Linked DNA regions of Struthio camelus. The protein of the gene in region 1 purifies or fractionates together with the protein of each later gene. This does not show direct contact. Links are inferred from orthologs where the notes say so. Each region holds a gene or a part of one and is shown on either strand. Other genes may lie near its edges. The genes, in order: ZYX and ENAH.

The links.
Region 2: the proteins of ZYX (region 1) and ENAH purify together in Homo sapiens (co-immunoprecipitation; 4 studies listed by BioGRID and IntAct, counting the BioPlex papers as one, with this or other methods). This does not show direct contact. The link is inferred for Struthio camelus from reciprocal best matches to the Homo sapiens genes ZYX and ENAH.

Annotation. Positions count from the first base shown.
Region 1 is NC_090942.1:90,287,297-90,294,650, reverse strand, and holds the start of ZYX (zyxin), read right to left. Parts: upstream 3,123-7,354; 5' UTR 3,031-3,122; intron 2,737-3,030; 5' UTR 2,580-2,736; intron 1,039-2,579; 5' UTR 890-1,038; intron 124-889; 5' UTR 1-123. UniProt on the Homo sapiens protein: Adhesion plaque protein. Binds alpha-actinin and the CRP protein. Important for targeting TES and ENA/VASP family members to focal adhesions and for the formation of actin-rich structures.
Region 2 is NC_090944.1:125,989,883-125,997,857, reverse strand, and holds the start of ENAH (protein enabled homolog), read right to left. Parts: upstream 3,263-7,975; 5' UTR 3,008-3,262; coding exon 3,003-3,007; intron 1-3,002. UniProt on the Homo sapiens protein: Ena/VASP proteins are actin-associated proteins involved in a range of processes dependent on cytoskeleton remodeling and cell polarity such as axon guidance and lamellipodial and filopodial dynamics in migrating cells.

The DNA.
Region 1 (7,354 bases):
TGCAGTGATTCAGTTCCATGCTGGATGCATGTTGAGTGCTGGATGCCATAGAGTCAAATGCAGAGGCCCACACTGGAGACCACAGAGCCCCCAGTCCTTCTGACCCTCATCATGCTCATGTATCTGTAAAAATGGCATGCAGTTAAGAATGTTATTTGCAAAGATCATGAATTCTCCTAGAGAGGTCTCTGAACAACCGACTGGGTTCAGTCCCACTTCTGTCCCATTGGCTCCTGTCCCCAAGGGTCCATGCTGCCTCTGTCCATGTCTCAGCAGGATGGCGGGCCTGCATTTCCATGGCTCCTGGGAGTGCTCATTGGAGGCCTTCATCTCTCTCTCACAGTGTTCTCCCTCCTGCTCACTGCTGCAGGGCTCTGGGCCTGAGAGACTAAGAAAGCAAGGAGGCTGTTCCAGTGGATATCTCTTCCCCACAGCTGGAGTATGAGCTGTTCTGTGACTCCAGAAAACTGAGAATGGTCAGCCAAGGACTGGAGAAAGCAGTGGGACGCAGCTGAATTGGGACAAGGCTGGTATGTGTATGGCTGGGTATGGATGCCTATCAGAGGCAATTATGCTTGGAAAGCATTGATACACTTGTCATATCCACAACCTTATGCCCCATGCCTTGCCTCCAGTAAGACAAGTTGTGACATGTTTAGTTGTTATGCACAAATATTGTCTGCCAGAGCTGTCCGTCAAAGAAACAGACCTGGGAGCCTGCCAGGCATGCCCTTGTACCTGGGCATGGTACAAGACTCTTTCTAAGTGCCATGTTTTTGTGGCAGAAGTCTCCTGTCTGCTCATTGGTATGGAGTGTATTCTCCTAAGCACGGCACAAATATGCTATGCTCCTTCCTTCAAATAAGTGTAATCAAAGATATGTACTCACCAGAGCTGGGTGCACAGCTAGTTGCATGCTAGGGGATTTAGTATGTGTGTGTGTGGGAGGATGTCATCCTTGAAAAAGGGTTCCTCCCCCAGATCCAGTCAGCAAAAAGCAGGCTCTCAACTCCCCTGGGTCTCATTCTGAGCTTCCTCCTGCTCATACAAAGGGAGAAGTTCTGTGGTGGCCTCCCAGAGAAGCATCTGGTGCAACTCAGTATTGCAGGGAGAGAGGTGCTGAGCTACAGCCAAACAATAGGCAGTCTCAACAACGTTACCTTGGCATAGTATCTTGATCTCTCCAGTCTCCGTGTGGCCCCTTTCTACCAGAGTGTCATTATTTTCTTGCTGCAGAAGAAGCCCCACAGCTAAATAAGGAGGGGTGGCTTTGCAGACTGCTAATCTTCTCTTTTTGTAGCAGACTAACAAAGATGTGCAATGCATGTGCCAGGGCATGGCATGAAAGCATATTGGACTTGTGAGAACACTAGGAGTACATAAGAAGATTGTTCTGGGCAGGAAGAATGAAACTTGGTGTAGTCCTATAGAGGTGTGGACCTTGAAGTGAACTACCCTCTCTTTTGAGCCTCACCAAAATAAATAGTTGGTTTAGTCCAGACTGAAGTCCTGACACAAACTAAAATGTGCATAGTATAGATGATGAAAGGACCAAGGCCTTGGAGCAAAACAAGAAACAAACAATATAGGCACCCGGTCTGACAGTCTGCTTGCCGAAAATATTAAGAAAAACACTATCTACAAACTGCACAATAAAACACAGTTTCAGCACAACTTTAAGTGGTGCAGTTCCTCAAGGCCTTGCTTTGCAAAAGCAGGAACTATGGAGCTGTATGGAGTTTTCTGCAGTTGCCAGGCTTGGTACATGTGGCTACTAGTATGTTTGCAGATTAATTTACTGCCAATATGAGTAAGAGGATGATTACAGACGAGACACAAATCTTGGACTGTTTCCTGGGGCTGGGGGTGTAATTATCAGGGCCTTGCAAGGGAGTACCAGCTTTCAGTACCAGCTACAGGTCTGTGACAAGTGACAATGTATGGGAGAGAGCTGTCCTTCAAGCTATTATGATTTTCAGTAGGTTGAAAACATAACGATGTGAAAGGCCTTACAGAAGATGTTTGCTAAGTTAATTCTAGCAACGTGATCAAGCGCTGTATGAGAGCTACTGGCTGGGGAGAATAGGAGAGTAGTAGCTACAGGCCACCAATTCTCAGCACTTTGTAGATAGTCTGTGTAATATTGAGAGCTCAGTAGCCACAGCTGCCGTTTAAAATGCAGGAGAGGTCTTCAAAAAGTGGTTTATCTCATACTACAAAGTCTTTGACAGTTTGCCCATTTGGTTCTCCAAAGATGTGCTGAGGTGACAGAGGCATAGCCTAATTTCTGGATTGGTATTTTACCCCAATGAGAAGGGATTTCCTTCTATTAAACCTGAACCATCGCTGCTTGTCACCGCTATCAGTGGTAGATGGCCTGGACAAGGACTTGAGGCATAGCATTAAACAACTGAGCTATTGATGTGCATTTCTGGAGAGGCACTTCCTTCAACCAGGGCATTTTCCAATTGTCTTGATGAAGGTCAACAGGATGACCATATCTCCTAGGTAACCTGGCACACCTCCTGACCCTTTGCTTCCATGGCTCATGAAACAAGTTATTTGGTATCTTTACTTACCCTTATCCAAAACACTTCAGTTACCAGGTAAGCAGCTTTAGGTATGCATTTGGCTGGCTGAAATCTACATGGAGATCATCAGTTGTCAGGCTTCCTATGGAAATGTACTTCTTCCCTTGGATTCTTGAGTCCCAAGTGATGTCTGCAACAGCCCTGGCTGAAAGTTGGGAACAGCAGGCAGTGAAAAATGCCTGTGAAACTGTGCCAGTGGGATCTCATCAGGTTTCTGATGAAAACAGGGTGGGCCATGTTATGAGAGAAGCCCTATCAAACCATTTTCTGCAGAGTGACTGATGGTTCCAGAGACAGCATTACACTTACTGCTGCCAAAATAAATAAATGGGGTATTTACAAAGCTATTTGTAAATAACTGGGCCTCCCACCAACAGCTTTCTTCCCAACACTTTCACACCTGGTGTTCAACCTCATAAAAAGAGTTGCTGGGACCTACCAGCAATAATCCTTTTGCTTCCTGCTTGTCTGCCTTTATGGCCATGGTCTCTAAAACAGTGTCCTCCCAATCTTGCCCATCAAGCCTCTATCTTAAAAATATAAAACAAAAAATGAGATTTGATAGAAAAGAAAGTATATACTTGTATGGAAAACAGGCTTTTAAAGCAAAACAGTAAAGATTGTAGATTTGTGCGAGGGTATGGTAAATTTAAAACAGTGCAAGAGCCATCCATATATGATATCCACACAATGTATAGGTAGGCACTGGATGATGACAGCCTTCTCAGATGGAACATCCTGAAAGCAAAGAAGCCTCCTTGGTCAGCTCCAGTTGTCCACTTGCTTTGGGAAGGGGAACACTGAACAGCCTGCATTTCTCCATTGCAGTAAGAGATACAGTAAATTGTAAGGGATAAGAGATAATAAGAGATACCAATAACAAAGAACAAGAACTTCTTTGTTCAGACTTCATTTTAAGCTTTTGGGTATTTTAAAAAATGTTTTATTAAGATTTGTGTAACTCCAAAACCGTGTCGCAAACAATTATGTATAATCTGAGAGCTTCCAGTCCCCATCCCCTACATACCAAAGAGAGAGAGTGAGAAGATGACAACTGATATTTTGTAAGGCTAAAAATATTGTGCCTTTTACATAACACTGAGAATTTAAAAAGCACATTTGCTGCTTCAAGACTATTTTTAAAAATGCAGTTTGAGCAACACCACTAGTACAGATTCAACTGACATTTAGAAGTAGCTGATGTTTCACTGTTTGGGAATCAGATATTCAGTAGGGAATGAAGCATATGTAATAAAAAGCCAAATAGGATTCAGAGCCTACCAAAAATATTGGCACCCTAATATACAGCTCATGTTTATGCTGTTGGTGGTGTCTGTTTTCCAAGTGCATGCCACCTCCGCCTTTTGACTCTCCAACTCCTCAGACATTCCCTCTAAGTACTAACTACTAGATGGCGAGGAACCTGTGCCTTCTCAGTTTTCCTACCACAGATTCACCTAGTTCCCTCTCTTATGTTCCCGGACTTCCCTATCCCTTTTTCTCATTTCCTGGCATCTGCTGAGCCCTTCCCAGCAGGGTGGGGGTGGAAAACAGTCCTTTTTCTTTGAGCTCACTCATCTCCCCATTGAATGCATCACTTGCAAAGCTCCAGGCCATGGCAAGAGAAACCAGAATTTCACAGCATGGCCCTGCCTACCTCCAGTCTCAGTTCCATGCGAGTATGCACATAGCTGCTTTCAGAGACAAGGTATGTACATACAAGGAGGCAGAATAGATTTATGGAAGAGACCCGCCAGAACGATGTTGAGTGGGTGAAGTCTGCAGCAAATGAAGCAGGCTAGACTTACTAATTCTGTAATACCAAACTGTAGTTCCACAGAGCAATGGTTCCTCCTGCCCAACTGAAAGGCGATACATGATCACTTGCAGTAGGTCAGTGTGTTACACATGCATCACCGAAATGCTAACTGAACAGACTGCATCATCCTAGTTCCAGATGGTGAATTCTTTTGTGAATCTTCTGTGAAGTCTAGAAATGGGAACTGTATGAAAGATGAGATCTAATGTTGTATATATAGAGCAGAACCTCACACTTCTACATGACTCTAGATCAAAATCAGACATGGATGAAGATGTTGGGAGAGTAATACATTTATTAAAAAGCTACAACGCAGCAGTGTTGTTCTGACAGCAAAGAAAGCTATAAATCTTGTAGAAAAACTAATAGAAGGCAAATATCAAGGTAAGGTGAGAAAATTAACACCACCAATGTGAAATTAAGTTGAGAAGCTAAAAGTGGTGAACACTGAATATTGAACATTTATACAGATGTGTACCAACATGCCAAACCTGTGTTTTTCAAAGAAAGCTGATTGTTCTTTCAGGGAGCACTACCAAATTAGATCACACAACCAGGATCTTGCAGCAGAGCAGGTGTGGGAGTGCTGTCTGTTGTTACATTACAGCTAGCCCACTAATTGCCTGCTCTTCATGTGTTGGGATGCCATACCTTTCCACTGTGGACATTTTTTTAATTTTATAAATAAATACCTTTTTAAAAAAATTAAACCTGGGTTGAAATAAGTGTAATTTTAAGGTAACTGGCTAACACTGAAGTATTTCATCCCTCTGAGTAAGTTTGTCCTTAATTTGGGACATCCCAGCAGTGCTCAGTTGTCAATAGATAATTCCAAGATATCCAAAAGGTGTGTCTCTACTTTGGCAGAATAAGCCACTCCGAGAACTCCTCATGCAGAGGAAGAGGAAAGATAATCTTTTGGTGACCACCATTAGTTCCCTTCAGTAATATGCGGGAAAATGCTATTGAGCACCATGAGGATTTTCTGACAAATACTCTTCCTGAGAGGGTAGGTTGACTAGTTTTGTCTCAGCATCACACGAATGCACTCTCATACAGTTTTTTTATGAACTCTAGGTGCAGGCAGAACAAGATCACATCTGCTTGGATGCGAGTGTAGGTAAGCATGAGCTCACTCATACTCCCAGTGTGTAATGCAAACATATCCTATGCCTGTACCTCTACCTCTTGTCCCTTCTAATCTTCAGTTGATTTATACAGCCTGAAATATTTTCGCAACTTAAGAGGATCCAGTCTTCCACTTATGTCAGACAGGTTACAACCTTTTCAGGTTCTGAACTACACTGATGATGCTTTTTTGATTCTTTGAATCTCATAAAAAGCCTTTCTGTTTCTCTTCTGCACCAAAGGAGCTCTGAACAAGAAAGAATGGTATGAGTCATTTTGCTATCTCATTTCCTCTTCAGTCCACATGAAAATTCTATCAGTAGCTAATACAGCTTGATGCAGAATTAACTCTTGTGGCTTCTACTCCATTACTTCTATGAAGCAATTATAGAGAGCTCTGCCAGCAGAAACATTTACTGGGGAATCTATATTGCCAGTGGCAGAAGGCCAGCAGAGAAGCATACTGGAGCAACAGTCCCTGGAGGGTGATTCCTGCCTCTATAGATCTGATATAGATATTATTTTTGCAAATATCTTCTACACATGAAGCTAGTAGGCCTCTGTATATTTTCCATTGCTGAAGATGCATCTTGCAAGAAACATGGCCAAAGTTTCTCTATATCTTTCTCTGATAGTAGTTGGTCAGGCCACAGAGCTTTAAATAAGGATTTTAGAAAGGATCAGAGAAGGAAAAGAAAGTGAACAATCATTTTTCAGAGCCTTTTCATGGCTCATGGATACACATGGTTGCTAGTTAGGCCTTTGGGGATGGGAAATGGGAACTAATATTAGGATGAATGATAGACAGTAGGATGACATTTTAAATTGGCAATTTTTAGCTAAAAGTGGAACATTAGGTGGCAAGATATATGTTTGTAAATTTTTTTCTTTTTAAGTGGTTTGAAGGGCAGCTAATGGAAAAGGTAAAGCATATATCACTTACTGAGATACAATCTATGTCCCTAATAATTAACTGATGAAATGAATAAAATTACTAAGCAGGTAGGGATGGTGACAATAGCTTTGTATTTTATAAGTAGTGTTTCTCAGGAAGAAGCTGTTCCAGCGTTTATAAGATTTTTATATTATATTTATAATACATCTGGAAATATATATTTAGTAGATGTGATTCATCATTGTTTTCTAGAAAAGATAAATAATGCTGAGCAGGCAGCTCTTAAAAAGCAAACAAACAAACAGCTATCAATTTATAGCATAGGTCTGTGTTAAGGGTTATGTTGGAAGCACCTCAGTGTGGATTTGGAACAAATTGTTAAAAAACAGAGCTTGTTGAAACTGCTTTGCTCTCTGCTATTGCTGACCCCTCTCCTGGGCATGAGGCCACTATCTTTAGCTTTGCTGGAAGTATGTCTTCCTCCCCACCATCCCTGCTCTGACCTAGGATCACACTCTGCCTGTGTGCAGGAAGGGGAGGATGAGACCGCTGGAGGGGACAATCCCTATCAGTTCCCCACTCCACAACTCACCTCAGCATTCATCCCTCAAGCCAGGTAGTGCTCACTGAGGAGCACATGCTTATCTAGGTTACTATGACATCTCAGTCAGTGTCACTGTTGCATTCATGGTGTAAGGTGCAGGAAGCAGGGAGAAAAGGTCCAAAGGAGTTTTAAGTCGCTCTTCCACCAGTTGAATTCTTGACCTTGCTGGAATAAGTTAGAGCAGCCCTGAAGCTCTGCTCTGCAAACAAGAAGTTGCTAAGGGCAGCGATGTAAGGACTCGTGACAGCTAGAGCAGACGGGTTTGTCCTTCTTGCCTGCCCAGCATGCCTCTCCTAACAGGGTTTGCGGAGGGGGAG
Region 2 (7,975 bases), on another chromosome or scaffold:
CTACTTTTTCCCACCACTTCCAGTTGGCTAGTAAATGGAAACCTCACTGCATATACCTAATTCCTAGAGACCTATTATGAGGTAAGTGCATTCAGGCAGCTATATTAAGAACAGTACTTAGTCAGCCAACCACAAAACAGTAAGAGCAACAGGTGTTCAGGGGAATCAACTGTTTACCTAAGCAGGGGGGAAGAGAGATGCACACAAGCCCTATTCATCTCGGCTCCCGAAACAAGTAACTTCATACACGGGCTAGACATTTAAACTGGGACGTCTAAGATTCACAGTTTTATCTGCAACCTACAATGCCTAATACATGCTATCCAAACATCATATAACATTCACTCAAATTCAAAACAGACCACTGAAAAAAGTTAATTGCTGTGGTCAATTTGTACTGCTGATGTTTGCGTGTTACTGAATTGTTGGTTATTTTATAATATTTCGATGCTCTTTACAATAGTATTTAGTTTTAGCTGACAAAAGGAAAACTAGTTAGCTGTTTGATAACTGACCAGCTAACCGTCCCAGACAAGGGGTGAGATCTTCGCAAGAGGTCATCGGAATTATTTCAGGCTGAGGATGGCTGAAGAATAGTCTCAAACGTGTGTGTTTCAAAGGACATCACAGAAACAGAAGGCTATTTTTTTCAGCTCATTTCAGAATGACTTACAGTATTTATTCCTTTTTTGTACTCAGAGCGCCAACTGTATACTTAACTAGAAAACAGTTTTAACACCACTTGCAAATAGACAAGCCATATATTAAACACTGGCAGATCATTTATTCTATCCACTTTCTCACTCCTTCCCCCAATCATGACTTGCCTCGACCAGCAAATACCCATTAAAAGACATTACTCAAGCACAATATACTGTGAAGAGACTGGTTTAAACATGTTTCAGATATACCAATCCTCGTCTAAACAAGTCCGAAGAGAGCGTGTTCAGTGAAAGCTTGCCCTCGCACTGAAGCTGGGCCAATTAAACAAAACTGAGTCAATTTAATAGCGCCTAGATAGGGAAAATACTGCTTAAGCCACATCATTTTCTTAACTTGTTTAGTTTAATTAGTACCATTTGCTGCTTTTTTCACAAGGCTTGGAAGCAGAGTTCTTGAAGTCAGATTTCCTTGAATTACCCAATGACCACTCAAAGCAACTACTCAACTTGACACTACATTTCCCTCTTAGCAGCTTGACATTCTGCACAAGCAGGCAGAAATTTCAGACACATTATAAGAGCATTTGCCTACATTTACTGAATGTTTAAAGTCATTATTCAAACATCTAAACAGGCAACCTAAGGGCAGGTCCAACCTAGACACTTTCCTGTTACACTGCTTAAGAGAAATACTTGCGCTCTGAGCTGGCAGAAGTCCTAACACATAAAAGTTACACTAGCAAAAGGACACTTTTGCTGGTATAACTTACTTCACTCAGCCTCAGTCACGCAATTAGGGTACTTTTTGCCAGAATAAAAGCCCAAATTATACAAGAAGAGTTTCTCAAAATATTTATACCAACTTGTGCTAAATTAATAGCATTCATTGTGTTAAAGATCATCAAAATAAAATTTTAAAAAAATCATTTAAAGAATTCATGAACTGTAAGCTTTTTAAGTCGAAACTTCTTACTCTCGCAGGGCATCTGACTTGTACATAGCAACATGAATAAGTGAAAATAAGTTGCCGTAATACAGAACAAAAGCTTAAAATAATACAGTACATAAATACCTACGGTCTAAGAAAAACAGAGAGAAACATTAGACTAAATTTTAAACAAAACAGCAGGGAGAAAATACCCATGCTTCCCACTGCAAAGTTACTGCTCGCATTTAAGGCGTGCACACGCACACAAACCCTTAAAAATACAGTTCAAAAATGTGATTAGAATTTTACTTGACTTTATGCAGAGTTCTAATGGCTTGACACTTTTTTGCAGCAAAAGAATTTGTTGATTTTCATCACACAAGTTTTACTGCGTTATACCCCGAAGGGCCTTACAACTTTTGATCAATAATCCTTAACACAAAGACGACTCAAATCCAACCGCAAGTAAGACGGTACCTCTGAGAGGAAGGACGGTAACTCACTTTCCCCTCCTAACTAAAGGACAGGCCTACGGAGCATAACGTTCCCCCCGCCCCCAAATATATCAGCATTTAGGCTATCAAGCCACGTCTCTTACGAAGTCTTGCACCAATCCAGAAAAAAAGATTATGGAAACAAAACAGGCACTAAAAAGAAATTGGGGGGGGGGGGGCGAGCCACGGGCGCAGAAAATTATCTACAAATGAATGAGACCGCATCAAGCTCCAGTCTCTCGTTCAAACGAGGGCAGAAACCTACGTGTGCCTTCCCCCAGACCCCTCAAAAGGGGATGAGTAACGTCCACCTCAGTGTTTACATCTGAAAACCTCCAAACGCGACACTTTCACGGCTGCCGAAAGGGGGATTCCTCCCTCCGCCCCCCCCCTCCCCGCGCTCGACTTCTATTTATTGATTACACAGGGAAAAGCCCAGCTGCTGCTGCAATGCAACACCCGCCGGTTAAGAGGGGAAAGGAAAAAAAAAAAAAAGGAGAGAGAGAAAGAACGAAAGAAAGAAAGAAAGAAAGAAAGAGAGAGAGAGCAGCCAGGCGCTTCCCCCTCGCGCCGTGGCGGGGCACACCTCCGACGTGCTCCCAGCCGCAGCAGGGGTGACCACAGGGGACGCGCCGGGAGCACCGCGCCGGCCCCCCCGCCGCAGGGCCCCGCTCCCCCCCCCCTTCCTCGGCCATCAACTTCGCCGCCGCCGCCGCGGGGGACGGGGACGGCCGGGCCGCCCCTCCCCCACCCGCCGCTAACAATGGGCCCCTCCCCCACCGCGGGGCTCCCCCTCAGCTCAGCCCCTTCCGCGAGCCGAACCCCCCCCCCAACTCCCGGGGACCGTTAGGGGCGGGGGGGGGGATGGAGACGTTAACCGCCCCCCCCCTTCGCCTTTCCCCGGGGCCGGCCCCTCACCTCATGGTGCTGCCCGGGGTCGGGGAGCCGCTCCCGCTTCCTCGCTCGCTCGCTCGGCCGCCCGCTCCGCTCCCCTCCGCCGCTTTCCGCCTCGCAGCGGCCGGCGCGTCAACGGACACCGAGACCCTCGGCCGCCAGCGCCTCCCTGCCCGTCTCCTCGCTCCCTCCGCCGCCGGGCCGGGCCAGACCACCGCGGGGAGCCGGGGGGGGGCGGCGGCGAGGGGAGGGGAGGGGAAGGCAGAGGTGGGGGAGAAGGGGCGGGGAAGAGCGAACCAACGCGCGGGAATGGGCGGGGGGGGGGGAAGGAGAGACAGAGAATGGGCAGGACCGGGGATAGCGCGAGGCAGGCTCGAGACACCGGCCGGGCGGGGGGGCGCCGCGGCGCGGCGCGCGAGGGCGGGGGGTGGGGGAGAGGAGGAGGAGCGGGCCGCGGAGGCCACGCCCCCCGCCGCACCGCCTCCCCTGCGGAGGCCGCGCCGGGGAAGGGGCTCGGCGGTGCCCCCGCCTTCCCCCCCCCACCGGGGCGCGGCCGGGCCTGGTTTCCGTGCCCAGGAGCCCCGACGCCGTGGCCCTTCCGCCCGGCCGGCCGGCGTCAGGCGCGGGTGCGAGGGGGAAGGCGAGGCGGGACGCTGTGCTCGTCGCCGGGGCCGGGGCCGGCCGGTCGCAGGCCTCGCTGCCGCCGGGCCGCCTCCGGGCTCGCGAAGGGAGAGCGGCGGGGGCGGCAGGCCTGCGCCTCCCTCCCGGTGCGGTTCCCGGGGAGCAGGCGGGTGCAGGCTGCGAGGCAGGGTTACGGGCAGCCGGCGGGGGCTGCTCGGGCTTGCTGAGGGCAAGCTCAGCCTCGGCATTAAATGACTGGTTTGCTCATCCCTGCGGTGCCAGGAGCGAAATCTGAAGTGTTTTCCCAAGGTGCAGACTCGCTCGCACTGATTTTGAACGCTTCTGCCACCAGACCGTGTCCTTTCCCCGCAACGTTTCTCTCCCTGCTTTCTGGATCGCGTTCTTACTTTGCAAGTAATCAACACATGAGCAAAGTGCTAGAATTGGATTCTTCATTTCTAGGAAAATACATAATCAATGCAGCCCACTAAATGAACTCTACAGGTAAATTACTCGCTGGTGCTGCAGTTCTTCCAATTGCCTTTCTGTGCTCTTGGAAGCACGAGGCCTAGATGTGTTTTTAGAAATACGGGAATGTTATTTCAGCCTCATGCACGTTTGCTGTTACATCTTTCACTAACCCCACGTCCGTACTAAATACAGATTTATGTTTTGCTTTTAGTACTCCCAGTGGGTGAAACACATGTTATACATAACTTTAACCCAGTTCATGTTCAGCTAATTTCTGCCAAACACTGAATACCCCCATTCTCTTTGGTCTCCAGTTAATGGAAAGGATGAGCAAGTATCTCTGCAGTCTTCACTGACATGATGGTATCTCAGTCCTTTTACATCTCTGCTTTAATTTTTCCTTTTAAATTATCATTTTTTCTAGATTTTAGATATTAATAATATATAGGTTTTTATAAATAAATGTATATATACCTCCTTTATAAGTTTCTAGATTTTATATGCAAAAATTGAATAGGATTTTAGAGATAAATATGTACGTACCTTCTTCATAAAGTTCTGATCTAGGTTTCACAACCTCAGTTATTTACTCTGAATCTCGTTTATTCAACGCTGCATACAACCTCTTCTTTGAACAGCCTGGTATCTGAGACAGGGTCAACCACTGTCAACTAACGGTTTCAGTAAGACAGTGAAAGACGAGCTAGTCAATAAAAAATGTCCAGTTGTTGAAAATACTAATTCAAAAAAGAGGATAGGCTCTGAAACACAAGCCAACGAATACCAATTTAGTGAGAAAATTAACATGTTTTTACTGGCATAGAGATGATGTAAATGAAAATGTTGCTATAGGGGTGAATCACAAAATGCAGATGAATAATTAGAAGAGCAGCATCTTAACAGGTAAGTGGGTACCTTTGACAGCAACGTCAATGCAGTCTGAAATAGGAGACTTCATCTAATAAATATGCTTATCTTAAATGCTTCTACTGAATGCTCAGGACTCTAATGACTGACAATGGACTTCAGGTCTTAAAGAATCACAAATTTTGTAAGTTAGAGCTTACTATCACCAGAATATCCTCCAAATAAAAGGTTTGAAAGGGAAGTCATTCAGACTGTGAAAAATATCTTGAAGGCAGCCAAATATAAACATTAAGATCTGTATCTAACTGGACTTGCTCTCATCAGTAGAAGGAATGGCACAGAGAGTCAGCTGAACAAGGATTCTGTTCTAAGACCCCAGCTATTCTGTACTAGCCAAAAATCAGGATGCTAATGTGACTGTTCTGATAAGACCGTTCCGTCCTGTCAGTCAAGCCTAAAAGAAGTTTGACTGTAACAAGTATGTAAAACCCACTGAAAGTATGCCTGGGCAACAAGTCTGCCTGAGAAGGAATGAAAATAGCCGGAAGCTGTTACTCCTGCAAAAAACTATTATCATTACTTGTGTTATATTAGTTGATATTCTTAGCCAAATCAGGCATGGTCATAGCTTGATTTCTCAAGACATACTGTGGGGTACAAGAGAATCTGTAAAAATGCCAGAAGAATCATTTTGCATGCTGGCATCACAGATGTCACCAAGTGCAAAGTCATTCTGGACACTAGCTTAGTCAAAAATACCATTGAATTAATCTATAACAAAATATTAAATCTGCAATAACTCGTATTAGCATTACATGAGAAGGCGAGGAGCCAAAATGATATAGGGCAGAAATCAATTATAAACGTTAAGTGTGTCTTTCTTTCCCCCAGGTCAATTTAGCACTGTTATTGTCAAGGAATTAAAGTAGTCTCGCAGCAGAAGTTTGTACCATGTACATACTTACGATACTGAATTATACATTGAGAAATCTGTAATCTCCTGTAACTGGCCTGCATTTTCTCAAGCTGTAATCGTTAGATGTGTCCGAATCACTCTGTGCAATTCTCCCGTTACCTTTCTAGCTGATGGGATCCTCGAGTGGCATAGCATTGGTGATACTGCCCTTCATATCACCTCCCACCTCTCTCCTTTCTTGCAATGACAAACAGAATGTGGCAGAAAGGCTTCGTAGCTGATGGTGTCTCACTAATAACCTGGGGCCACCGACAGCTTACGATGCAGAGCCGTCTAAAGGCTCTTGTAATTGGTGTCAAAGAACAGTATTAGTGTCCTCCTTGCTCAGGATCCAAGCAGCTCAGAATACCCCAAAGTGACTTCCCATCCCTCTCTCTTGCCTTTTGTGCCGCTCAGCTGCAACTGAGGGTTGGAGCTCAGATGTTTCCAAAGGCTAAGCTAATTCAGGTTGAGTGGTATGGTGTGCCTCCTCTCCAAATAACCTGACTAGTGAAGGCTCTTTAAATACTAGAGAAATGGCTCACCCAGGCATAAAACAGAAGAAAATGTGTTTCTGGTTAGTATCAGCCAGATGCAAGAGGCTTGGCACTCTGTTCCTGAGCAAACCCAGCTGAGTCCATCTCATATCATCAGCATGGATCACCCTTAAGAGCGGGGCATGAGCAGGATGCATGACTAATATTCTGGAGACACTGAGGGAATCCAAAAGCTTCAAAAGGCAGCCTAATCCATCCTCTCTCAGTGAGGTTTCCCCATTTTCTCTGAAACAATCTTCCATTTGCAGTCGTCAGTTTTTTTGGAGAGTCTGTTTGTATTTAAGATGGAAAAGTAGCTGAGATCTTCACACGTCTTACTATAATCAGTGTCCCCGGACAGCAGCAGTTATACCACATCACTTTTTCCTTCTTTAATGCTCTGTAAATAGCATAATGCAGGAAACACAGTCAGAGAGGTTTCTGGAGTGGGGAGAAGTGGGTTTTTTGGTGGTGTTTTTTTTTTTTTGAAGGTTATTACTTTTACTTAATGTGTCTAGAGTTTGGTTTTTGAATAAGTAGAAAGATTTTTTTTTTCACTTGTTTGGGTTCTTTTCTGTAGAATGGTAACATAGAAAGAAAACACAATTTAAAATATAATAGAGTGAGAGAATTGCAACAAAAAGCAGTTTCAGTGAGAAAGCTGATGCTTTCTTTCTGTTGATAGTGAAGGGCTTTCCAAAAATAAAGGGCAGGCTGAAAAGAAATGGCTGTCAGTATGTTCCTATTAACATCTAAGACTCTCCAAACAGAACTGAATTAAGTAATTTAATATATTATTTTCACCACCGATTATGTGAATCTAATTCACCAATATATATTTTGATCTGGACCAGACACAGAGCTGATGTCTCTACCAATTCCACGAGGTCATGGTTAGTTGAACAAGAGGAGGATCAGACTTTATATAGAGATAGTTAAAATATATTGGCTTCCTGTCCTCTTCTTTGCTTCCCTCACCCCCAAGTCATTTTCAATTTCAGGTTGCCATGAGTCAGCCGCCTGCTGGAGTGTTGCACAGCACACTATTAAAGGAAATGCTTTGAACCAAGAACTCTTTAGCTTTATTTTACTTAGGAAAGTAGGCAGAATTCCTCAACCATCTTCAGGACAGAGCGGTTGCTAGCTGTAAAAATCTTTTAAGAATGCTAAAATAAACATTTATCATTACTGGAATGACTCCGCAGAAAAATACAGGAATAGTCAGCAAGGTCTTTTCTTAAAGGCATAATATTTTTGCTTTGTTTTGTTTTAAAAAGGCAAACATAACCTCACCAGAAAAGGAAACAAGTTTCCTTTTGCCATCAAACACAGTCCTTTGACGCCTGAATGTGAAGCTCAGTCTTTCTACCAGCATACCCTGCCCCTTGTTATACAAGTAAACAATTTATAGATCTTCCATCAAGCACCTCCAAAGAGGGAATGAAAACAACAGCTGAAGCTTTCCACTAAGTGTCTTTCCACCAAGGTTCCTCATAGTGCCCCTCATATTGTCAAATAGCATAAGAAAATCTAACCACAAACCTCTG